3 linked regions of the Macaca fascicularis genome follow. The protein of the gene in region 1 binds, or shares a complex with, the protein of each later gene. Links are inferred from orthologs where the notes say so. Each region holds a gene or a part of one and is shown in the gene's direction. Other genes may lie near its edges.

Region 1 (8,215 bases):
GAGTTGGAATGGATGGCCATTTTAGTAAAAATGGAGACTTAATTTGCCAGACAATAATTATGATGGGAAATATTCTATTAAATGTCCTTGTAGTTAACATGTTCAAATTAAGTTGCTACCTGTAGCCACAATGATAACATGCAACCTTATCATTTAGGGGTTTTTAAAAATATTTACATTTTCTCACCCCATCTCCATAGTTAGCCTATAAGAATCTAAAGTTCCGCAGGGCGCGGTGGCTCAAGCCTGTAATCCCAGCACTTTGTGAGGCCGAGACGGGCGGATCATGAGGTCAGGAGATCGAGACCATCCTGGCTAACCCGGTGAAACCCCGTCTCTACTAAAAAATACAAAAAACTAGCTGGGCGTGGTGGCGGGCGCCTGTAGTCCCAGCTACTCGGGAGGCTGAGGCAGGAGAATGGCGTGAACCCGGGAGGCGGAGCTTGCAGTGAGCCGTGAGCCGATATCGCGCCACTGCACTCCAGCCCGGGCGACAGAGCGAGACTCCGTCTCAAAAAAAAAAAAAAAAAAAAGAATCTAAAGTTCATATCCAATAATTTTGGGCCATTTCTCGCAAATCTTTAATGGGCATCATAGAGTCAAACTGCATGAAACAACACTGTTATTACATTTTATTCAATAATTGGCACAGGTGTATATTTTCAGTGATGTAAAAGTTTGCCCATAACTTGAAGGAGAAACAAAGAGCAGACATCAAACCTACAACGAAGAACCTTCTAAAGGTCCGCAATAACAAATATTCTTTAGTATTTTATTTTATTTATTTTAATTGCCAAATAGTAGTTGTACATATTCATGGGGCACATAGTAATGTTTTCATATATATAATGTATTGTAATCAAATCAGAGTAGTTAGCATATTTATCATCTCAAACATTTATCATTTGGTTTGGGAACATTCAATATCCTACTTGTAGCTATTTGAAATTATATCATATGTTATTGTTAACTATAGCCATCCTATAGTGGTACAGAACACTAGAACTCATTCCTCCTATGTAGCTGTGATTTTGTATCCTTAAACAAATCTCTCCCTATCTTCCTGTTCCCAGTCTTTAGTATCCTTTGTTCTACCTTTTAATTCTATGATATCAACTTTTCTTTAGCTTCCACATGAGTAAGAACATACAGTGTTTAACTTTATGTTCCTGGCTTATTTCACTTAACATAGTGTCTGCCAGTTTCATCCACTGCCACAAATGACAGGATTCATTCTTTTTTATGGCCGAATCATAGTCCATTGTGTATAAGTACCACATTTTATTTATCCATTCATCTGTTGTTGGACACCTAGGTTAATTCCATATGTTGGCTATTGTGAATAGTGCCATACCACCCTTAATAGGCCCAGTTGTGTCTTCATTTACCTTTAATCTATTCTTAGAAGACAGTATCTTATGAATGAATCACAGCTTTATTCCATGAAGAAAACTAATATAGCTACCTTATTTTATATATATATAAAATATGTATTTTATATATATAAGTATAGCTATATAATATATACATATATAAAATAAGTATAGCTATTATATTAGCTTTCTTCATAGAAACATTAATCCAAAGACATATATATATATTAAAAAAAATGCCTAGGTCCAAGTTAACCACTTTATGTATGTAATCTTATTTCATCCTTAGAAGAACTTTGTGAGAAAAGTACTATTGTTATTATCCCAATTTTATATGTAAAAAAACTAAGGCTTAGAGTTTCTTTATCTATAAAGTAGGAATGATAAGAGTCCTTGTCAAAGTGAGATTATGCAATAAAAGCACTTGGAACAGCGCCCAATACATAGGAACACACAGTAAACGGTCCTATCATCATCATCATTATTATTCACATGCTAATGTCCTTTCTTTTTCAAGTTAGCATTTTATTAGAAAATGGATCTAACCATAAGATTAAATCAGTATACAAATCAGTGCTGTCTAATAGAATTTTATGACGATTGAAATATTCTGTCATCCATGCTGTCCAATAATATGGTAGCCACAGGTGGCAAATGAGTACCTCAGTCACTAATTTGACCAAGGAAAGTTATTTAACTTCCATGTATTTAAATTTAAATGGATACAGCTAGATGTGGCTGGTAGCTACTGTGTAGTATAGGGCGTCTTAAATTACCAAAAATAACCAATAACTCTACCATCTTCATATTGGTTAATAGCTTTAAATATAACATTTATCATATAAATTTTCCCATGGTGTCAAAATTATACATACTTATTTATTTTCAACATCTGTTATATAAGTAAATGCAGAGAACACCGGTTCCCTCTTCCCAATAACTTGTTCGCTAGCCTGAACCAGTGGGCCCCTTGCTTTGGACTCACTCACAAACCCTCAAAACATCAATTTCTTCCAACAGTTTATTTGCAATATTTCTTCAGTGAACTCAAAGTTCTAAGACCTTATTCCTATGGAAACTAACACCTCCTGGCATTTAATTTTTTTAATTTCACTAAATAGTATAAAGCAAGGCACTGAGATGAAAACTCCCATTGAGCTACAATTCTATGCCTTTAAAATAAATATCCTTTTCAACTACAAACTGCAGAAAATGCAAATATATCGAAAGTGAAGCACATGAGAAATAACACATAGGTTAGATTTCTGGGGCAGCATTTCAGAGGCAATAACATTTTGTCAGGACAGACAGAAACTAAGCCCAATACAGAGTACATTAGACATGGAAACAATGAGCATTCCTTTGGCTGTATCCCTCTTTCTGTACTCCTTGAGTCAGTTTGTTCCTTTTTTTTCCTTTTTTTATAGGTGGCAACTTTTCTAGTCTTTACCTTTTCCTAGAAAAAAATAATTGAGTATTTCACATGCTAAAATAGGGGTTTAAGTTTCCCTTATCCTGAGGTTATAAGACAATCTGCCTGTTCTTCTGTCTTTCTCTATCCCTATGAAATGTATTATGAAAGAAGCAAAATACGCGAATTTCTAAATGCATGTGAAAATGTCAGACTTCCTCCCCCAAATGTAGAAATAAACTACATATGCAGCTGGAAACATTAATCCAAAGGCTTCACAAGGATATTTTGTCTTGAATGCTACTAATCAATGCGTTCCTAAGTGGAATAATCAAACTCTAAAAACTTCTGTTGCCTTTGTGTATCATGTGCCCCGCCCCATTCATTACAATATGATTGCTTCCTGATAAGTTTGCTTAGGACAAGTTCTAAGAATCAATATAGCCCTCTTCTTGCTTCCAGAAACTACCCAGTGGATAGTTAATTCCTTTAACAATGGAATCACTCCCAGGGAAGTTTGTCTCTTTTATTGCCAATGTGTTGCATTTTACATTCTAAATTCCACTTTCAGAAGTGAGTGCTTTCTCTGTTCTGAAGCTGTGTATCAATGACATTTCTCATTTCATTAATATAATAAATCAGTCTTCAGCATATAAAGTCCACTAAAGGGCTCTAACTCAGCTGGCTCTTCATCTGGCCCTAGCTTTTATAATTATATTTTCTGCTACTTTTAACTCTGGCAATAAATGTTATATATTCCATTTATTTTAAACTCTTATCCTTACACTCAGCTGTTAGATTGAAACCATCACATATTCTGCTAAGTAAATTAATTACTCAGAAAGTAGAAATGAAATGTGCTTTTAAAAAGTATATCTTTTATACCATAATAGTACAGGTTTGCTTTCATCAGTTTAATCATTCAGAAAAGGAAGTTATCAAATAAACTTTCAAAATCTGATGGAATCATTGAAGTAAATCCTATGTAGCCTAAAATGATATTTACATTTGCTATCAATGCCAGATACATAGTAGTTACTCAGTAAATGTTTACTAAGAGAATATATGGATGAGAAAAAAAATCTTTATTAGTAGTTTTTAAAGACTTTCACTATAATGTCATGTTTTATGCTCACAGTCATACGATTAGTTGAAATTCTACATTAATTTTTTTGTAACATGCTGTCCCCCCCTTGAAATTGGATTATTGCACATGGTTGCTTTGGGAATTGTAATCAAATAGAGTGGCCTGAACACCAATGCTAGAACTTTCACTGATGAGACAATTGAAGCAAATGAATTTAGAGGTTAGCACAAGTTGACACAGACCCCATGGCACGGAGGTTTACAGCATAGGCTCTGAAAACCAAACAACTCCTTCCTTAAACAACCTCAGACAGGTTATCTAACTTCTCAGAGCTTCAGGCATCCTTATCCGTATAACGGCAATATTAATAGGATCTATTATGAGAAGTAACTGAGTTCATTCATGTAAAAGACAGTGCAACATATATAACAAAAATTAACGTTTGAGTAGTAAGATGATGATGGTGACAATTATGATATAGTAATGGAAAAAGGAAATTTGGACTCAAGTTTCTACATTCAAGTCATTTTCATCCTCATCCTAGTGCTTGGAGACTGATTCTTTTATTTCCAATTCTTTAGTGCTCAAGGAAGCTTTATAGTCGGGCCTTGTCTCTAGAGCTAGATGATTCATATTCGTTTCATGTCTTCTTTCAGAAAGTGCAGGTGGTGGTAACTGTTTTGGACTATGACAAGATTGGCAAGAACGATGCCATCGGCAAAGTCTTTGTGGGCTACAACAGCACCGGCGCGGAGCTGCGACACTGGTCAGATATGCTGGCCAACCCCAGGCGACCTATTGCCCAGTGGCACACCCTGCAGGTAGAGGAGGAAGTCGATGCCATGCTGGCCGTCAAGAAGTAAAGGAAAGAAGAAGCCTTTCTGCATTTGCCCATATAGTGCTCTTTAGCCAGTATCTGTAAATACCTCAGTAATATGGGTCCTTTCATTTTTCCAGCCATGCATTCTTAACACAATTCAGTGGTACTTCGAATCCTGTTTTAATTTGCACAGATTTAAATGTAGAGAGCCCCTAAGTCCTTCATCATACCACTGCCCTCCAAATCTACTCTTCTTTTAAGCAATATGATGTGTAGATAGAGCATGACTGAAATTATTTATTGTATCACACTGTTGTATATACCAGTATGCTAAAGATTTATTTCTAGTTTGTGTATTTGTATGTTGTGTTTCCTAATCTGTGTATATCTAGATGTTTTTAATAAGATGTTCTATTTTAAACTATGTAAATTGACTGAGATATAGGAGAGCTGATAATATATTATATGGTAATATAGTATCGTCTGCATTCCAGCAAAAATATCAACTCGTAAGGCACTAGTAGAGTTAAACTGACATCTTAAAGGACAACTTAAACCTGAGCTTTCTATTCAATCATTTGAGAACCAAGATAAACTTACACCACATACTTGGTGGGTGAATCCAATTTTGTAGAATTCCTTCACAGGCAAAATAGCATGATCTGAGCAGCAGCATCCAGGCTGACCTCAAGGAAGCATAGCCACAAACCAGAATAGCATCTGTCTGTACATATTTACAAAGCTAAAATAATGGCTTCACTCTTACATTTGAGGAAGCAACTGAACAGGAGTCAATGATTTCATATTACTCCTTGTAGAATAACAACAAGGTGTTCCGTGTGTGTGTGTGTGTGTGTGTGTGTGTGTGTGTGTGTGGTGTGCACACATTTGTTTGGGGTTGGGGGAGAAGAAGCTAAGGGGATAAGTTAACATTTATGAACTATTGCCTGACTATTTAAAAAGAAAAAAGTAGCTCTCCGTTATCACCTTTATACAAAATGTGCATCCTGTGAATTCTGTTCCAGATTTCACACCTATCGTAATTCCAAAAGGTTTGCACATTAGAGTTTGTAACAAAATATTTTATTATATAAAACCAGATTAGAAGGAATGCAGGATATTTTTAACACAGCAATCTGTGCTTATTACACAAAATTACTTTGTGGTAAACAGACAGTATTGTAATCCCATCAAAAGATGAAAAAAAAAAAAAAAAAACCAACAACAATTAGCCATAGTTCTGAATGCACTTCAATTAAGCCAAAACAGACAGCTAGTGATCTTTTTATATGCTCTTTTTACTTAAATAAGTTTTAATTTGTCCTTTAAAAAAAGGTGAAACAAACCAAGAACAAGTTCTAGAAAACTGAAGCAACCTCTTAGGTATACTAGATGCTTGATTTAGGAGGAGTTTTTAAACGTTTTCAATGTTATTATGTAGTAAATGGCACTATTATGAAGCTACTAGTCATTCCATAAGAGTCTTAAAGGACTGCTCTGTGTAACACTGTGACTGCCGTGTGTGCTTAGACCCGTAGTTTCCTCAGTGGATAGCACTCAATTTATTCCGTAGTGATATTGTAACAATACTGCCATTCCCTTCTACTGCACTGCCCAAGGTGTGTGTAGCACAAACAGTTCTCATTACAAAGGACCAATCCAGAACTGAAAAGCTATGCATAGGACAAGGAAGATACATAGAATGGGGTGGAACACAGCATTTTGTCAAGCACTGTGCAATATTCCATATTTTTCCCCACTATGGTAGACAACCACTTAGTGGAAGGGCAGCCTATTATCTCACGCTGCATCTAGCCTTTTCTCCCATTCACTTCTGTGACCCATTTTAATTCCCAGGCCACAGACAGTAACGATGCTGTGAAATGAAAGTTTGTCTTCACAAATACCAAAACAAAATGGAGGAAAACTAAGCATTGGCCTCATGTTCAGTCTTCATGATATCACACCATGTCTTTTCAAAAACTAAAGAGAATTCAAAAAGGGCTGATGGTAGGCTTTGAACATGGGGTTGGCTGTTTCCCAATAAAACTGGAATTCCTGTCGTTACTGTTTCCTTATCAAAGAAGGGGCACTTTTGCCTTTTAGGCCAGACACAGCAAACGCTTTACAATTGGCACAGACATAAAGTATAAAAGGAAAATAACATCACCGTCTGCTGATGGTCCATACTTCTTTAAACACATAGGCAATAGAAAATACACACAAGTCAGAATGTGAAATTAAATAACGGTTTGAACAGAAAATTCAAACAAGACTCTTTCCAATTTAAAGGGCCAAACCCTACCAAAGAGAGGGAGTTGACTGGCTTTTAAAAAATATTTAAATACCACAAAAAACATTTAATTTCACTGTATTCAGCTTTAAGTTGTACACAATGAAACCACACTTTAAAACAAGCAGGTTCAAGCTGCTGAATATACATTATTTCTTGCATTAAAGTACTACTAATGCATTCTCTTGCAACACTGCCAGAAATGGGATTGTCACCATAGAATTAGTTGGTACTATGCCATCTTTCACAAGTCAGTGATGGAACCTGCTTTATGACCAAGATTCATCCTCAAATAAGCCACATGTACCCTTCTGACAAAGCTGTGTAAAGTATTAGAATCCGATGCTCTAGAAAGATCCTAGTTGCCTTTGTGTATATTTACTGCCTGCTTGAGTGTTTCTATGTGTGGGTTTTCCCTGTATCTTGTAGAAATGTTGGGGTGTTTTCTTCTGCCATATGGCTCGTGGCCTGCGAGCCAACTACTTCAGCTGTATTTTACCTTCATTTTTGACGAGGTGATTTAAATTTTGTTTCACTTTGTGTAGTGAATTCCACAGTAGTTTTCTGATTGTTGTTAAAAATGACTTAACATATTACACAGATATTCAATAAAAATGTTTTATTTCCTGTTGATGTTGCTGCCTTCCCACTCTTTTCCTTGCCTGACTCTGGTGGTAAGCCAGTGGCCTGTTGACTTTGGGGGACTCCTGGAAGCAGCAACAGCTAAAGAAAACTGCACTGAATGCCAGCGTCTGAGTCACATCTAAATACAGAATGGCTGGAGGGACGACAACACCCGGGAGCATTTGGCCATGACCGCGTGGTGTTCCTGGGCAGTGTCATTCTCAACATGTGTTTCTCTATGCTTGTTTGTCATCAGTTCATCTGGCAAACTCTGAGGCTCTTCACTTTGCCCAACATGTGTCCTTCGGGGTTTTCACTCCAGAACCCAAGTCACATAGCTTCTCCAGAATGGGACTGAAAACAAGACTATTTTAACCCCAGTTTCAGAGGACAGCATAATACACTAGATTCTATGCCTACTGCAATTGCTAGGGGAAAGAAGTAAACATTTTTCCTCCACTAAATTTAACATTTATCAAGTGCCTACTGTACTGGATGCTGGAGCCCACAGTCTCAGGCTGATGTAAATACACCATCCCAATGCACTGTATTTGCACTTAAAAGTAAGGGTGTTGGGTCCCTGAGGATTTTTTTTTTTTTTTTTTTT
Region 2 (7,771 bases), on another chromosome or scaffold:
CTCAGAGAACACAGGTGGCAGGGATAGAGGCCACAGACCTGCCCACAAGAACAGCCCCCTCCACAGTCCACTGGCCCCTCAGGCCTTGGAAGCACCAGCCTCTCTGCTCTGGAGGCCCCACCACACTGGATCCCCCCCAGACTCCACGTCCACACCTTCTCCACAGAGCCCTCCTCCACGGAGCCTTTGGGGGTAGGGGAACCCCGCCCTCAGGTGTGGCCACCTGATCAGAACACCTGCTGCCTCCAGCCTCCCCTGGGCCGTGGCACCCCCAGGCATCTTGGGGGTTGGTTAGAGAAGAGGTGCTGAGCTGCCCTGTCCAAGGCCTCTTTGCGGATGGGGACTGGATCCTTTCGGAGTATCCAGCCCCTCAGGCAGTTCCCAGAGGAGCACCGCACCTGCACCTCCAGTCAGGCAGCCATCTGGACAGGCCCAGGCCCAGGGATCGAGAGCGAGACTGGCCCCTCTGTGCTCGGCGCACTGACTGACCTGCCCTTGGCTTACATAAGCTTCCAGCCACCCATGTCGGGCAGCTCACGCCTGGGCCTTCCTGCATGGGCCTTCTGAGGGCCCACTAGGCTGCCCCAGTACACTGCATCCCCCCCACCCCCAACAGCCCACACGGCGCCTAGCAGGTGTCCTCCTGGTTGCCGAATGCTGGGTGTTTGGTCCTATCGTTCCTATTGTTGGTTCTCAGTATTGATTAGCACCCACTGCCCTTTTCTTCTCAGGAACACAGTGTTTTCAGGGTTCAGGGTCTCACCTCAGATGTGTCAGGGCCTCCTAGGCTCCCCCAGCAGCCACTCCCATCCTCAGGTGTTACTTCCTGGAGAGCAGCTGACCAGCATCACGGCGGGCCTAGGGCTGGGTGTGCCTGGGCGTTTGTTTCTGGAGCAGACGCCTCAGAACCGGGTCTCAGGCTCCGGCGTGCAGCCCAGCCCCAGAGCCCGTGTTCCCGGCGGAGTGACCCTGGCCCTCAGGCCGAGTCCAGCATGACCTCAGCCTCAGAATGACCTGGAGCCTCAGTGCAGCAACTGGCACTTCAAGTGAAGCTCTGAGTGTCCCACAGCCTGGTGGCAGGGCCTGGAGTCTCCTTCCTGGGCCCAGAGGGAAGGACCCCACACCTTTTGCAGACAGGGTCCCCCAAGCCCCAAGGGTCACTCCCCTGACCCAGGAGGTTCCTTTGCTCACACAACTTATGTTCCCGCTGTTACATGCCTGCTCCTCTGAGCACACCCGTGTTCCTGAGTGCCTTTGCCATGGGCAGCACAGCCTCCTGGGCTGGGCACACGTGTGGCCGCCGCATGCACAGACCCCCATACCCCTGGCTGGAAGGAGGCTCTCTCTGGCCAGACCTAGCTTCCAGTGGCATTGCTCTCCCCAGCACACCCCTGGCCCCACAGGATGAGGAGCACATGCCCCCTCTACTTCCATACCTGGAGCTGCTGTCCCTCCTGCTGTGGATGGCTAGGACCAGAACCAGTCTGCTCTTGCTGCCCCGCGGGGTCAGGGCTTTGTTCTGGGCCTGCAGGGCCCTCTGGGTGATGCCCCTGTCCTTGTGGAGGACGTTCCTACCCTGCACTCTTCGCCTCACTGAGGAGATCCCTGGAGTCCCAGCTCTGTCAAGAGTGTGCAGGGGCTGCTAAGGACCAGGGCGAGCCCACAGCCCCTCTCTCTCCGCAGTGGCCAGGTGGTGCTCTGGCCGCAGGCCGCTGGGAGCATGGCACCCTCCTTTCCATCTCACTGAAGGTGGCCCTGGCCCCCCACACCCAGAGCCACCTGCAGCACCAGGGAAGGGGAGAGGTGCCGAGACTGCCCTCAGTGGGGTTGGGGGGCACACAGGCAGCCTCCATTTGGGAGGAGGGAGGGGCCTCCTTGGAGAGCCAGGGGGTGCCCAGCACCAGGAGCAGAACCAACCGCTTCTATGGGAAGGGGCTGCTGAGACAGGAGCAGGAGATGGCAAGGGAGGGGCTCCTCCTGGGCAGAAAGGCTCCTCCCTGCGGCTGTCGATCCCGTGGTGTGCTCCTCGGTCCTGTAAAGTGCTGGTGCCCACTCCCTTTCTAAGTTTTCTCCTGGACACAGCTGCTGACGCCTTCACTGCTCTAGAGCATCCTTAATCTCAGACCCAGGGCCTTGGACCCGGCTCGGGGGTCCTGCCCAGGGCATGGACAACCGGCTCCTGTACGACACCAGGCCCCCAATCCTTCCAGGCCAGCCCAACCCCACTGGTTCCCACCTTCCTGGGCAGCAAGAGGCTGTTCCGTAGTTCCATGGCCTCACCATGACCACAGGCTTCCTGGGCTGGCGGCTCACAGGAGGGCTGGAGGAATGTGGGGTGGGGAGGTGTATTGATCTAAGAACCAAAACCCTGCTGCCTGGCATCAGAAACTTAGAGGCCTGGAGGGCAGAAGGCCAAAATCCCATGCCCCCTCTGGAGGCTCTGGGGGAGGGCCTTTCCCTGCCCCTTCCTGCGTCTGGCTGCCCTGCAACCCCTGGTGTTTCTTGGCTTGTGGCCTCACCACTTGCGACTTCCTCCGCTTTCATATGCCCGCCCCCGTCCGGGTGTCTGTCCTTTCTGTCTCTTACAAGGACACTCTCACTGGACTTGAGGCCCCTCAAATCCAGGATGGCCTCGTCCCCATCCTTACCATAATCACATTGACAAAGACCTATTTCCAAACGAGATCACATTTGAAGCTCCAGGCAACATGAGTTTGAGGGGGACAGTATTCAGCCGCTACAGAGGGCAGACACACACACAGGAGATGAGAAACGGGGGTGGGCAGGGGCTCGGTGAGGCCCAGGTGTGCCAGCTGAGGTCACAACTAGGCAGGATTCCAGGACACCCAGTGCCTGGAAGTAACCGCCGCCCAGGCCCCTCTGCCAGCTGCCCATGGAGCTGAAGTGGCCTGCCAGGGAGTGGCCCTGCTGGGGCTGTGGCCGCATGCAGGCAGCCTTGGCCAGGCCCAGGAGTGACTGCAGGTCGTGGACCAGGCACTGGGCAGGAGGGTCAGCTGCAGGGTGACTGTTTCTCCCCACCTCTGCCACACAGCATCCTGCCCACCCCTCCCTGCCCCAAGCTGGAGGCTTCCTGGAAGGCAGAATGCCAGGGGCTGGGCTGGGTTTGGAGCCAGAGGTGGGGCCACAGCCCCCTCTCCTCTCAAGGAAGATGGGAGCTTCCCCATCCCCTGCTCCCCCTTCTCAGCTGCTGGCCCCCATTCTCCGTGGGGGCTTCCCACTCCTCCAGGCACCCCCCGGCGAGGGGTCTCTTCTCCCTCTGGGGTCCTCGTTTGTCTCGTGGGCCAGGGGGCCGCGCACACGCCTCCTGGGGTTCCTGGGCCAGTCCCTGGCCCAGGGAGGCTGCAGCCTGCCTAGGAGCCGCCGGGACCCCCGCCCTGACCCCCACCTCCCTCGCAGTACGGCATCAAGAAGAAGGAGGAGCGCGAGGCCGAGGCGCAGGCCGCCATGGAGGCCAACTCCGAGGGGAGCCTGACGCGGCCCAAGAAGGCCATCCCGCCGGGTTGTGGGGACGAGGTCGAGGAGGAGGACGAGAGCATCCTGGACACCGTCATCAAGTACCTGCCCGGGCCGCTGCAGGACATGCTCAAGAAGTAGCCCCGCGCGGGACAGCGGCCCCGCGGAGCCCCGCCCCTCCCCCCTGCAGACCCTCCGCGGAGGCCCCCAAGGGACGAGCAGAGTGCAGCCCCTACGCCGATATAAGCCATAGCCCCAGGCCCGCCCTGCCTGCGCCTGCCCCCTCTCTTACCCGAGGGGCGTGCGCCCCCAGGACCCCCCAGTCCGCCCGGTGCTCCTCTGCCCGCCGGTGGCTGGAGCCCCATCGCCTGGGACGCCCCTTCCTCTTGCCGTTTACCGCCCACCCAGCAGCGCCCGAGGCCAGGGCCGCCGGAAGGGCAGCCCCGCGACCACCCCTGTGCACTCATTAGCGGCGGTGGGCGCCTGTCGGGCCCGCACTCAGGAGCACAGCCATAGCAGATGGGGGGGTGCGGGCGGGGCGGGGGCGGCGGGGCCTGGGCCCCCCTCCCGCGCGCGGATTCCGGGGTTCGGATCGCGCCGCGGTGAGTGTTCGCGCCCGCACGTGGCCGCTCTCCGCCCCCCAGGCTGCCCCCCTCGCGCCCCTGTCCGTCAGTCTCTGTCCCCATCCTTTCCTCTCCTCTCTGGAAGGTTTTGCTTCTTACGAACGCCACGGCCGTGTTCACTACTAAACTAAAGGAAACAAAGCAATAGGTTTGGGGGACGCTAAGCCCCCCACCCCCGTCACCCCGCTCTTCCCGAGTCCTCGCCCCTCGCCCCCCACCCAGCCTCCTGGCCTCTCCGCCGACGCGGCTGCTGCTTCTCCCTGGGGAGGACCCCTGCCCTCGCCCATTGAACTCTGCACCCTCCACAGGAGCCGCAGAGGCCCGAGGCACCCAGGGGGTCTCCGGACGCTGGAGACCCTGCGACCCTGCCCAGCACCTCCTCCGTGGGCAGCTCCTCGGGTGGGGCCTGCGGGGTTCCCTGCGCGCAGCGGGCGCGAGTGTGGCCGAATCCACCTGGTGGCCCTGCGGGGCGGCCTCCGAGTCCCTGTTTCTCCTCCATTCATGTTTAATTTGCATCACAATTTGTTGAATCTCAGGTAAATGAGGTCTTTGCATTTAATGAGTTTTACCTTGACAGGCGTCGCCTCGCCCCCCAGGCCCTTTCCGTCCACATCACAAATGCATCAAGTCCACACGTGTTTCGGGCCAGGGTTGGCTTGGCATTGACCTTCATGACCTTACATAGCTTTAGAGAAGCCATAACGTTAGACTGCAATACTAACGACCTACGCCCCTCCCGGCAGAGACCACCGCGCCCCTCTGCGCCCCAGCGACGCGGCCCACGGGGACGCCGCTGTCCGTCCTGCTCGCCCTGTGCCCTCTCGCTGACTTCTCCCGGGTCGTGTCTTAAAAAAACTCCTGTTTTCACACCTTTCAAAGCCAGCTCTGAGCAGACAGGGCGTCCTCTCTTAGAACCTGCGCACCCCGTTCCCAGCGCATGGCGCCCGGGGCCGCGAGCTTAGCTTAGACCGTGGTGTCCTCTGTCCGTTTGTCCTGCGCCTGCGCCTCCTCCTGCATGTCGGGGCCCCTGCGTGTGTTCTCTCCGGATGGAATCACAGCCAATAAACACCAGTGATTTCATACCGTGTGGCCATTCCTTCCAGTGGTCCATTCCGCCAGCCGGTGGGAGGACCGGGCCTTCCCCAGTCCATGTTCTTTCCACGGGCAGCTGCAGGGCATCCCACCATTCTCACCCTGCTCCGTCCACTCAGACTCATTTTCCCCAGGCCGTCCAGCCACAGCAACCTCCATCTAAACCGCAGACCTGCGCCTTCAGGGACCTGACCCCAGGTTGGGTCTTCCACGGAACCTCAAAGCCTCTGCCCTCTGCTCTCCCTCCCACCTAGATCCCGACCACGGGCCTGTGCCTCTCCTCAGTTCCACCGGCCCGGGGCCCCAGGTCACCCTGTGCTGCCCTTGCCTCTGCCCAACCAGGAATTCCTGCCCCGACAAGCATCCCCGTGGGACTGTCCCTCCTCCTGAGTCCCAGACTGGGATCCCTGAAGGGAAATGTCTGCCAACTTGGGTTAAGGCCAGAGGAGGTTCCTCACCCCAGCCCAGAGAACAGCCCCTCTGCCTGGTTGCTGGGGGTCCCGCCCACACTCAATCCGCTGGATGCTCAGCCCACCCCTAGCTGCTGCCCACCACTTGCTTCCCCAGAACGTCCTTGTTTGACCTCCATGTTTGGAAGCTGTTAAAAGATGATTCCAGCCGGGCGCGGTGGCTCAAGCCTGTAATCCCAGCACTTTGGGAGGCCGAGACGGGCGGATCACAAGGTCAGGAGATCGAGACCATCCTGGCTAACACGGTGAAACCCCGTCTCTACTACAAAATACAAAAAACTAGCCGGGCGAGGTGGCGGGCGCCTGTGATCCCAGCTACTCTGGAGGCTGAGGCAGGAGAATGGCGTAAACCCGGGAGGCGGAGCTTGCAGTGAGCTGAGATCCGGCCACTGCACTCCAGCCTGGGCAACAGAGCCAGACTCGGTCTCAAAAAAAAAAAAAAAAAAAAAAAAAAAAGATGATTCCGGCCAGGTGCGGTGACTCTGGCCAGGTGCGGTGGCTCAGGACAGGCACGGTGGCTCATGCGTGTAATCCCAGCACTTTGGGAGGCCAAGGTGGGCAGATCACGAGGTCAGGAGATGGAGACCATCCTGGCTAACATGGTGAAACCCCGTCTCTACTAAAAATACAAAAGAAAAAAATAGCCGGGCATGGTGGCATGCAACTGTAGTCCCAGCTACTTGGGAGGCTGAGGCAGGAGAATCGCTTGAACCTGGGAGTCGGAGGTTGCAGTAAGCTGAGATTGCACCACTGCACTCCAGCCTCGGCGACAGAGCGAGACTCCATCTCAAAAAAAAAAAAAAAAGCGAAGATGATTCCATGACATTTGTTAAAGCTTGGTGAGGAAGGCTTTGCTCAGGACCAGCGCCATAGGTACAGGGACCATGCAATAGGGCTTGCAATGGGTGTGTTGCCAAGGAGCAGAGTGGGCTCAGTGGACAGAAGATGACTGAGGAACATCAAGGGTTGGGGGATTCTGACTAACCCCATCTAACTGGATTCTAGCTGGAGACAGGCAGGGCAATCAGACAGACCCGTCAGGCGGTGGAGGATGAGGACCCCAATTAAATCTCCAGGATGAGGGTTTGTTGCTAAACTGACCTAGCCAGATTCTTTGCTAAAACAGAATTTTACAAGGAAGTGGGCCAATGGGCCTACCAGAAGATTCAGGAAGTTAATTAAAGTTTGACCACACAAAAAATCTTTGTCAGGAGCCCTCTCTAGGGAGCAGCATGTCTGGGTCTCCTGTAATCTTCCTGACGCTTCTGGCTGGGAATGCCCCAGGGAGCTGCCCAGTCCCAGGGCAGGAGGACCCCATGTGCCCTGCCCCCAGGCCGGGCCCTCCTGGATGCCAGGTGGGATCTGGGAGGGAATGTGCTCTCCTCCAAGCCCATGGAGGGGTGTATCCTGCTCTTCCTCCTGCTGCCTCTGGGGAAGTGTGGACCCCAGGCACCACCAAATTGCCCAGGGTGAACTCTCCCCTGCCGAGTAGGCAGCAGCTGGCCCCTCTTCCTCCCTGGAACTGAAACTCAGTGTCTTTGCACCCACCCCTGTGCCTGTGGCTGCTCCCCAGCAGGGCTGCTCTTAGAAGGCCACCTCAACATCCAGCCACTGCTCGGCCTCCATCCTCCCCCAGCCTCCCATTTCCCACCCATAACCTGGTCTGGACCCCCTTGCAAGCCTGAGCAGCAACTTGGACGTGCCAGGCAACGACCCAGGCAGCTTTCCCTCTGAGTCTTTTTTTTTTTTTTTTTTTTTTTTGAGACGGAGTCTTGCTCTGTAGCCCAGGCTGGAGTGCAGTGGCCCGATCTCAGCTCACTGCAAGCTCCGCCTCCCGGGTTTAAGCCATTCTCCTGCCTCAGCCTCCGGAGTAGCTGGGACTACAGGCGCCCGCCACCTCGCCCGGCTAGTTTTTTGTATTTTTAGTAGAGACGGGGTTTCACCGTGTTAGCCAGGATGGTCTCGATCTCCTGACCTCGTGATCCGCCCGTCTCGGCCTCCCAAAGTGCTGGGATTACAGGCTTGAGCCACCGCGCCCGGCCTTTTTTTTTTTTGAGACGGAGTCTCGCTCTGTCGCCCAGGCTGGAGTGCAGTGGCGAGATCTCGGCTCAC
Region 3 (8,215 bases), on another chromosome or scaffold:
TCCTAACATCACTGTTTTTTTCTTTAGTCCCTTTTATCTTTTACTAGGAAGGGCCTGGGAAGGGCTGTGTGCCATTTCCAGCTGTTCTTGTGACAACCCCCGGCCCTTTCATGATTTCTCCCCGTGCCCTGACTCCCTCCCCATCCTTTTTTCTCTCCCCCACCCCACCAATGGTCTCTCCCGATGCTCAGTGGCGCGGGGTGGGGGTGGGGGGGGGCGGCGGAGGCGGGGCTGGAGTGGGGGGGGTGCAGGTCTGCATTGCCGCTTCCCTGGTACCCGGAGCAGTCGCCGCTGCCGCCTCCGCCCGCGGCCGGGACCCCCGTCGTCGCCTGGGACTCCTTACCCGGGAAACCCAGTCCAGGTGAGACCCCTCTCTCAGTCGCTCACCTCCACCCCGCCTCTGGCAGAAGCATCTTTGCCTTGCCTTGCAGCCATTTTATCCTCCGATGCTTTGCTTATAGGGAGGGTGACGATCCCCTCTCTAGGGGTGAGGGGGGTTGGTTGGTTGGTGGTGGTTTGGGGATGTACATTTATTTCAGTTGTGCTCTTCAGGACACACACACACACGCATATGTTTAATATTGGTGAATGGGGAGGAGGGGTGTTTTTCTCTACCTTAACCAAGTCCCCACTATCCCCTTCGGAGATTAACGGGGTGGTGGGGTTGTGAGGTGCGTGGAGTTCCCTCAAACTCCTATCCCCTCCTCACCTTGACGTCCCCCCACCCCCAGGATGAATGATAAATGACCTTGGCTGGGGCTGGAGAATGGATGCTGCCTCAGTGTGCGCGCCTGGACTCGGGTGGGTGGGGTGGGGGGGGGGCAGGGGAAGAAGGGCAGGTGAAGGATGGAGGGAAGGGGAGTGAAGAATGGACATACTGGGGAGACAGAAATGGAGAGCGGCCAGGTGTTGGGGGCATGGATGGCGGGGGCTGGCGGCAGTTGCTCCAGGGTTGGGGGAAGGGGTGTTGAGTGAAGGTGGGCACTTGTCTAGCAGCAGGACCAAGGGTGGAGGAGGTGCTCAGAGCAGGGATTTAGTCAGTTTTGGGGGCTTTTCCCTTATTCCGGAGCTGAGGCAAGATGGGGTGTGGGGGGGTCCCTGCAAATGCTGATAGGGGCGGTCTCTAAGTCTGTGCGTGCGGAGGTCTCTCCCTGCGTCCCCCTCTCTGCCTCTCCGTATTCCTCAGTGTGCATTCTCAGCTGACACCCTCATTTTTATCCCTCAGAACTGTGGGTGCTCCCATCTTCCTAACCCTGGGTAGGATGTGGGGAGGGGAGGCACAGCCTTGATGGTCCTGGGTGGGGGCTGAGGTTCAATGACCCCGCTGTCATGGGGAAGGGGTGCTCCCGCACCTCCCACATTCTACCCTGCCCCCGCGGACGTTTTGATAAGTGATTGCTTTTTAATGACCTTGTCACCTGAGCTAGGAAGGCCTGGGGATCTGGGTGGCCCCCAAAGTCAGGGACTTTGACTGGGAGGAGGGTGGGGGGTTCTGGACCCTCCTCTGATCCAGGGCTGGATGAGCTGTTCTGAAAGGAAGCATTTGCTCTGGAGTCCCCCGCCTGTCTCCACCCTCTGCAGAAAATCTCCTGGGCACATTTTTTCCTGTCAGGTGAAGTCAGCCAGCCTAGGACCTTGTAACCCTGAACCTTGTCTCCTTTAACCTCCACTTCTCCAAGTCTTGTCTCTCTCCCCCAGGCTTAGCCACCCTGTGCTGTTTTTGGGGCTAAAAATAGCACCACTTCCTCACCAGCTCAAAGAATTTGTCTTCTTTCTCTCTCTCCTGACCTCCTGGGCTTGCTGGCCCTGAGGGAGCTGACTGCTGAGCCCTCATATCCTGCTGCGGTTGTGGAAGGCTTCTCTGCCCTACATGCCCCTCCCAGGGGGAAATAGGGTCAACAAACAGAGAGTATGGCTCCTGGTGGGTCCTGCCTCCTTCAGGGCTGGAGGGGAGATCCTGGTTAGGAAAGAGAGGAAAGCTAGCAAATTGCCATGCGCTGAGGGGATTCCACAGTTCCAGCGCTTTCATGGGGGATGGTTGGGCCCTGAACAATGAAGAAAAGGTGACAGGGGTCACTGCTTCTGGTCACCGTGGTCCACTGCTTACATCTGTCCTGAGGGGTAAGGCCCTGCTTGCCAGTGCTTCTCTCTGAACCACATAGCATTGCTTACCCTCTTCTACCAGGGTGTGTGTGTGTGTGTGTGTGTGTGTGTGTGAGAGAGACATTTAATGAAGGCTCTGGATGGGTGGGAGCACCGGAAATTTTTGGGGGAATGATTTCTGATCAGAATCTAGGCCTGCTTCCTCTCCTCCTATGAAGGAAGGGGGGCTATCCCATGCCTTCCTCTGGAGAACGTCTTTTTTTGGGGAACACCCAAACCCCCTTTATTCTACATCCACCTCCTACGCAATGCGGTGTTTGTGGACTCCTTCTTCCTTGACTCCTGGAGGAGGAGTGGAAAGGATTAAGGGGGATTAGGAAGGGAGGCCCTGGAGGGATGGGACGCAACTGTAGGCCTTAGAACCTCATGTTGGAAATGCATTTGACAGTCATTTCCATTCTCACCCCCATCCGTGGAAAGGGGACCCATCTATGACATTCTGAAGCAAGGTGGCAGTGGACAGTCATCACCTCTTTCTTAGCTTTCCATCTTTCCTCCACTTTACTTGGGTTCCAGGTCCCCCTTTTCTGGGTCTCCCCTTGTTTTTCCGGAGGTAGTTAATGTGGGCCCAGCTGCTGGAATTAGTTGAAACACAGACAGGGGGTCTTGGGACTCTGTTTGCAAGGATGCTGGGCAACAGCATCTAAGTATGACCCCGCTGTTGTCCCTTGCTGCTTCTTGCTTCTTTCCCACTTTTCAACATCATAGGAAGGAAGAAAACTAACATAGAGCATGTACTGTGAGATTACATTCTCACATCAACTCCAAGAAACAGTCTCCCAATGTAATTATCCCCAATTAAAGTATATGGACTCTGAGGCTTAGGGAGGTTAACTAGCCTGACCGAGATCAGTTAGTAAGCGGCAGAGTTGGGATTTCAACTTAGGTCACCCCTAATGGTCATGTGCTTTGCCCTGAACCAGCATTCTCCTTGCCAGCGTCCCTTCCTGCTGCTCACCCTAAAGAGCATCCAAGACGGCTTTCGTTTGGGGACCTTATGAGGTAGTATAGGGCATTTCACTATATTACTGTCACCACAAAAATAATAGTTAATATTTATTCATCATTTTTAAGTGCTAGCTGACTTACGTTAAGGAGCACAGATATATCATTCAACCCTTACTTTCCCCTTTTAAAATAAGAAGAAACTGAGGCTTGGTCCCTTAGCTAGCAATTGCCAAAACAGGAAGTCAAACCCATGTCTTTGTGACTCTGGAAGCTGAGCTTTTACCCATTAGACTATGTTGAGAGAAAATCCCTCCTTGTTGAAGCCTGTAAACATGGGACCTGAAGGAAGGACAGTGGAAGCCCCTGCCTTCAGATGCCATCAGTGGAGGGAAGGCCACAGGTTGGAGGGCTTGTCCTCTTACACATCCTTCTCAACTCCATCCCCAGTAAGAAACCCAGGCAAGACTAAAGAAGGGAATTCTGGTTTCTCATATTTCCTGTTCAGTTCTTTGCAGATTGGTGATAAAGCAAGGGCTGGGCTGGGCTCGGGGGTTAGGAGAAGGGCTCAGAGTAGGTGACTGTGACTTTGGAGCAAATTCCATAGGCCAGGCCTCCAAGGTCAAAGTAAGGGGACTTCTATGCGAGTGACCCGGTTAGCCCAGATAGCCATCCCTTTTTAGTGTGTGAATGGGAGCCTAAAGCGAGAAGACCATCTCTGCACCACATGGTCCAGATGGGGCTCTGGGTTGAGAAGCTTTATATTGGCCTTCTTCACCACCTTAGGACTCACAACTTCCTTTTGCTGTCTGTTATTTTTTCCAGGTCTCCAGAGGCTTGTGGAAGAGAAGTAGGCGACCCTTCCTGAGTTATCCTGGCTTAGCCTCCCAGTCTGGCTCCCCTTCCCCTTCCCATTCCCCTGCTCCTCCTGTCCCTTCGCCATCCACCCAACTGAACTGGGTATAGGTCAAAGTTCCTCTCCTTCCTTTTCTCTCCTAGGCACTCATTGGCTAGGACCTGTTTGCTCTTTTTTTGTGTGCCCAAAGATACTGGAACACACTTCATCTAAGTAACTGTGGGGAGGGGTCTTTTTGACTCTACAAGTCCTTGAGCAAAAAGCTGAAAAAGAAGCAGGAAGTGGAGAAGACCCGGTGAAGTGCCTCAGGGCCCCATCATGGAAGAGGGCTTCCGAGATCGGGCAGCTTTCATCCGTGGGGCCAAAGACATTGCTAAGGAAGTCAAGAAGCATGCGGCCAAGAAGGTGGTGAAGGGCCTGGACAGAGTCCAGGACGAATATTCCCGAAGATCCTACTCCCGCTTTGAGGAGGAGGATGATGATGACGACTTCCCTGCCCCCAGTGATAGCTATTACCGAGGAGAAGGGACCCAGGATGAGGAGGAAGGCGGTGCGTCCAGTGATGCTACTGAGGGCCATGACGAGGATGATGAGATCTACGAAGGGGAATATCAGGGCATCCCCCGGGCAGAGTCTGGGGGCAAAGGCGAGCGGATGGCAGATGGGGCACCCCTGGCTGGAGTAAGGGGGGGCTTGAGCGATGGGGAGGGTCCCCCTGGGGGCCGGGGGGAGGCACAACGACGGAAAGAACGAGAAGAACTGGCCCAACAGTATGAAGCTATCTTACGGGAGTGTGGCCACGGCCGCTTCCAGTGGACACTGTATTTTGTGCTTGGTCTGGCGCTGATGGCTGATGGTGTGGAGGTCTTTGTGGTGGGCTTCGTGCTGCCCAGCGCTGAGAAAGACATGTGCCTGTCCGACTCCAACAAAGGCATGCTAGGTAAGACATGGGGGGCTCCAGCCCTATCCCCTCAAACTCTGGAAACCTCCTTGCTCCTGGAAATTGCTCTTGTCCTTACCACTGGGTTCCCTAGGACCCTGCACCCAAGATGTTCCTGGAGGGCTCAGGGCTCCTCTGCACACTCTTCCCTCACACACTCCCTCTTCTTGGCCTTGGGTCAGAGTGAAGTTGAATGTGAAACAGGGACTTGCAGGAGGGCAGTTGGACTGGGGCTTGGGCCAGTGGTTGGGTGGTGGTCTGCTTTATTCTGCAGGAGGTGGCTGTGGTAGGATGGTCCTTACCATTTAATGTTTCTTCATAGCTTTCCCTCTGGTTATCTTATTCCATTTCACTGATTGGGAAACAAGAAGCCAGTATCCAAACTCCTTGGTATAAATGGGGAGAGTCAGTTTGGGGTGGTTGGGGGAGGGGGAGGGTCCTGGATCTTCTGCCAGAGAAGCTATTTAGACTTTCTCTCACTCAGACGGGAATTTCCAGGGGACAGAATGTACTGTTTGATGACCTTTCCTGACAGGGACTCTGAGGAGGAACCCCCTAGACTCACAGAGAAAGAATCGAGGCCTTACTCTGCCACCAAATTGCCATGGGGTCTTGGACAGGTCTCTTCTTCCTGGGGCTTGGTTTGGACATGAGAAAATATGAAGTTTGGAGTAGATGATTTTAAAGATTAATTCCAGCTTTGGTTTTATGAAGGAAGTGAAAAACAGGAGAGTTTTTGGACTAGAAATATTGAGACTGGGAGGAAGAAAGCATGGATTTTGTGTGGGGGATTTTCTGGGAAGATGAAAGGAATTGGAGCCCCTTTCCCCAGGAACAAATGAGAGCAGTCTTGCTGCTTCGAGGGATCAAAGCAGGGAGAATAGAGAGGACCCTGGGATGGTCTGGGATCCTAGGCACACCCATTCCTCCTTCAAAGTGAGCCAGGGGTAAGGGTGTCACTGTATGTGTGTGTGTGTGTGTGTGTGTGTGTGTGTGTCTCACAGTGAGAAATGAGACAGACCGAAGACAGTGGAGAGTTGTAGGTTCTCCCGTATCTTCATTCCTGCCTTTGAACGCCTGGCCTGCAGAGATGACCTTCTATCTTTGCTCACACCATTCATTTTCTCTCACTTGCTCTAATCTCTGGGTAGACTTAGCTTCTAGAAGTTCTTCAGATCCTTCAGCTCCCTCAGTGCTCATCTCCTGGGAGAACTGAGGTGTGTCTTCTCACGCCCCCTCTGCCTCTGTTTTCCTCCTCCTTCCAGGCCTCATCGTCTACCTGGGCATGATGGTGGGAGCCTTCCTCTGGGGAGGTCTGGCTGACCGGCTGGGTCGGAGGCAATGTCTGCTCATCTCGCTCTCAGTCAACAGCGTCTTTGCCTTCTTCTCATCTTTTGTCCAGGGTTACGGCACTTTCCTCTTCTGCCGCCTCCTTTCTGGGGTTGGGTGAGTGTCCACTTCCTAAGCCCCTTGAGGGCAGTACTGTGCCTTGGTCACTGTTGCATCTTTAGGGCCCAGCACAGTGCCAGGCACACCAAATGCACCTTAAATCTGTGTGAGTTGAATGGATGAATGAGTTCCTTTCTCCCCCAACCATCTTCAGGCCAGCTCCTCCCTGCCCAGGACCTGTCTACTACAGTCCAGAGTGCTGTTCCATGTCGGCCCACTCCTGAGTCCTCCATCCCACTTCTAGTTCCATTTTTGAGCCTGCCTCCACGAAGAGGCCTACTGGGCCTCAGCCCCACCCCTGGACTCCTGTGGACCCAGAGTTACCCCCTACCAGAGTCTACACATTTCCTGCATTCCACAACAAACCTTGCTAACACCCACACCTGCCAGAACCCTGATGCGTTGCCCACACTGCCCCTTCACTTTTGCACGCATGGCAGGCACGCTTACTCTGCCTCAACTCCAAGCTCCTTTCTGGCCGTTCCCACAACATCTGCCCTTGGAGGCTTTTGGGTTGTCTTTTTTCTCTGGAGATTTATTCTCTTTTCTGCAATTACCTTCCCTCCCTTCCAACTCTGTAAGTCATTTTCAAGATTTAAGATTTGCTCTTTCCTTTTCCCTGAGACTTGCTTGCCTGTTTCCCATGGTCCCAAGGATGGGTGCTTGATGGCTGGCCCCCAGGGGAGCTTGTAGGGCTTTTTGTGTGAGATGGAATCTCTTCAAAAGCCTGGAAGACAAAAGGGGCTCAGGGTCCAGAGCAGTGGGGCAGGGGATCAGGACTATGGCCATTTGCTAATGCTGAATTCTTGAAATGTGCTCCAGGATTGGAGGGTCCATCCCCATTGTCTTCTCCTATTTCTCTGAGTTTCTGGCCCAGGAGAAAAGAGGGGAGCATCTGAGCTGGCTCTGCATGTTTTGGATGATTGGTGGTGTGTACGCAGCTGCTATGGCCTGGGCCATCATCCCCCACTATGGTGAGCAGCCCCCCGGAATCCACCCCAGGTTATCTCCCTCCTCCCTCTTCTGTGCTCCCTGTGGTGGGTTCCCTTAGCCTCTGGCCTCTCTGCTGATGCTGTCACTCTCTCCCTGCCAGGGTGGAGTTTTCAGATGGGTTCTGCCTACCAGTTCCACAGCTGGAGGGTCTTCGTCCTCGTCTGCGCCTTTCCTTCTGTGTTTGCCATTGGGGCTCTGACCACGCAGCCTGAAAGTCCCCGTTTCTTCCTAGAGGTGATGGAGCTGAGCTGTGTGGGGTGGGGTGGGGTGCAGGCTGTGGAGTGTGGAGAGCAGCAGGGGCTTCTGTGTTCAAACACCCACTGGGGTTTGATTTGATCCTGTTCAGCTGCGGGCCTTCCTCACAGCGTCCATTCTCTGGGGGACTTTATCTTGCATCTTTTGCCTTGGAATGTATCCCTGAGGGGTTCTTGGGTGGAGAAACCAGGGGACCTCTTCACCCTTGGATGACTTAAGATTTTGCAGGGAAGGGCCTTGGCCCTGTCCTGCATTTACAGCTCAAGAGACATTCCCACCCCCTACACCTTCCCCTCCTAACCCCAGCAGGATTAGGTCTTTGACTACATGCTTGCCCATCATTTCCCTTACCTATGGTTGCCTGTGCTTGCCTTTTTCCCCTGGACAACACTCCCCACCCCCAACCTGCAGCTCTTGCCCAGGTCTGGTCGTCTTGCTATACCTCAGCTCGGGGCTCTTTCAGAGTGGGCAGTGCATGCTCATAGGTCAGGGCTTGGTGGTGGGATTGAGGGCCGGGAGCCATTTAGTGTCCTGTGACTACAGAAGCCAGGTGGGAGGGAGGGGATCTATAACTCTGGTCTGGGTCAGGTAGGGGCTGACTTGGATGTGGGGAT

What was found.
Region 2: the proteins of SYT1 (region 1) and CPLX1 are in contact, whole or in part, in a crystal structure (PDB 5W5C), measured with the Rattus norvegicus proteins. The link is inferred for Macaca fascicularis from reciprocal best matches to the Homo sapiens genes SYT1 and CPLX1. Residues at the interface, in NP_001028852.2 of Rattus norvegicus: Glu271, Thr383, Gly384, Glu386, Thr406, Leu407, Gln408, Glu412, Met416; in NP_074055.1 of Rattus norvegicus: Val61, Met62, Gly65, Asp68, Lys69, Tyr70, Lys74.
Region 3: the proteins of SYT1 (region 1) and SV2A are in contact, whole or in part, in a crystal structure (PDB 4V11), measured with the Homo sapiens proteins. The link is inferred for Macaca fascicularis from reciprocal best matches to the Homo sapiens genes SYT1 and SV2A. Residues at the interface, in NP_001129277.1 of Homo sapiens: Thr291, Lys314, Lys326, Lys327, Lys328, Glu342, Ser343, Phe344, Ser345; in NP_001315603.1 of Homo sapiens: Asp82, Thr84, Glu85, Gly86, His87, Asp88.

The regions. Positions count from the first base shown.
Region 1 is NC_088385.1:86,310,020-86,318,234, forward strand, and holds the end of SYT1 (synaptotagmin-1), read left to right. Parts: intron 1-4,527; coding exon 4,528-4,734; 3' UTR 4,735-7,615; downstream 7,616-8,215. UniProt on the Homo sapiens protein: Calcium sensor that participates in triggering neurotransmitter release at the synapse. May have a regulatory role in the membrane interactions during trafficking of synaptic vesicles at the active zone of the synapse.
Region 2 is NC_088379.1:865,046-872,816, reverse strand, and holds the end of CPLX1 (complexin-1), read left to right. Parts: intron 1-3,417; coding exon 3,418-3,615; 3' UTR 3,616-5,177; downstream 5,178-7,771. UniProt on the Homo sapiens protein: Positively regulates a late step in exocytosis of various cytoplasmic vesicles, such as synaptic vesicles and other secretory vesicles.
Region 3 is NC_088375.1:111,363,341-111,371,555, forward strand, and holds part of SV2A (synaptic vesicle glycoprotein 2A), read left to right. Parts: intron 1-255; exon of another isoform or gene 256-361; intron 362-3,933; exon of another isoform or gene 3,934-3,958; intron 3,959-4,107; 5' UTR 4,108-4,282; coding exon 4,283-4,904; intron 4,905-6,169; coding exon 6,170-6,350; intron 6,351-7,175; coding exon 7,176-7,327; intron 7,328-7,446; coding exon 7,447-7,580; intron 7,581-8,215. UniProt on the Homo sapiens protein: Plays a role in the control of regulated secretion in neural and endocrine cells, enhancing selectively low-frequency neurotransmission.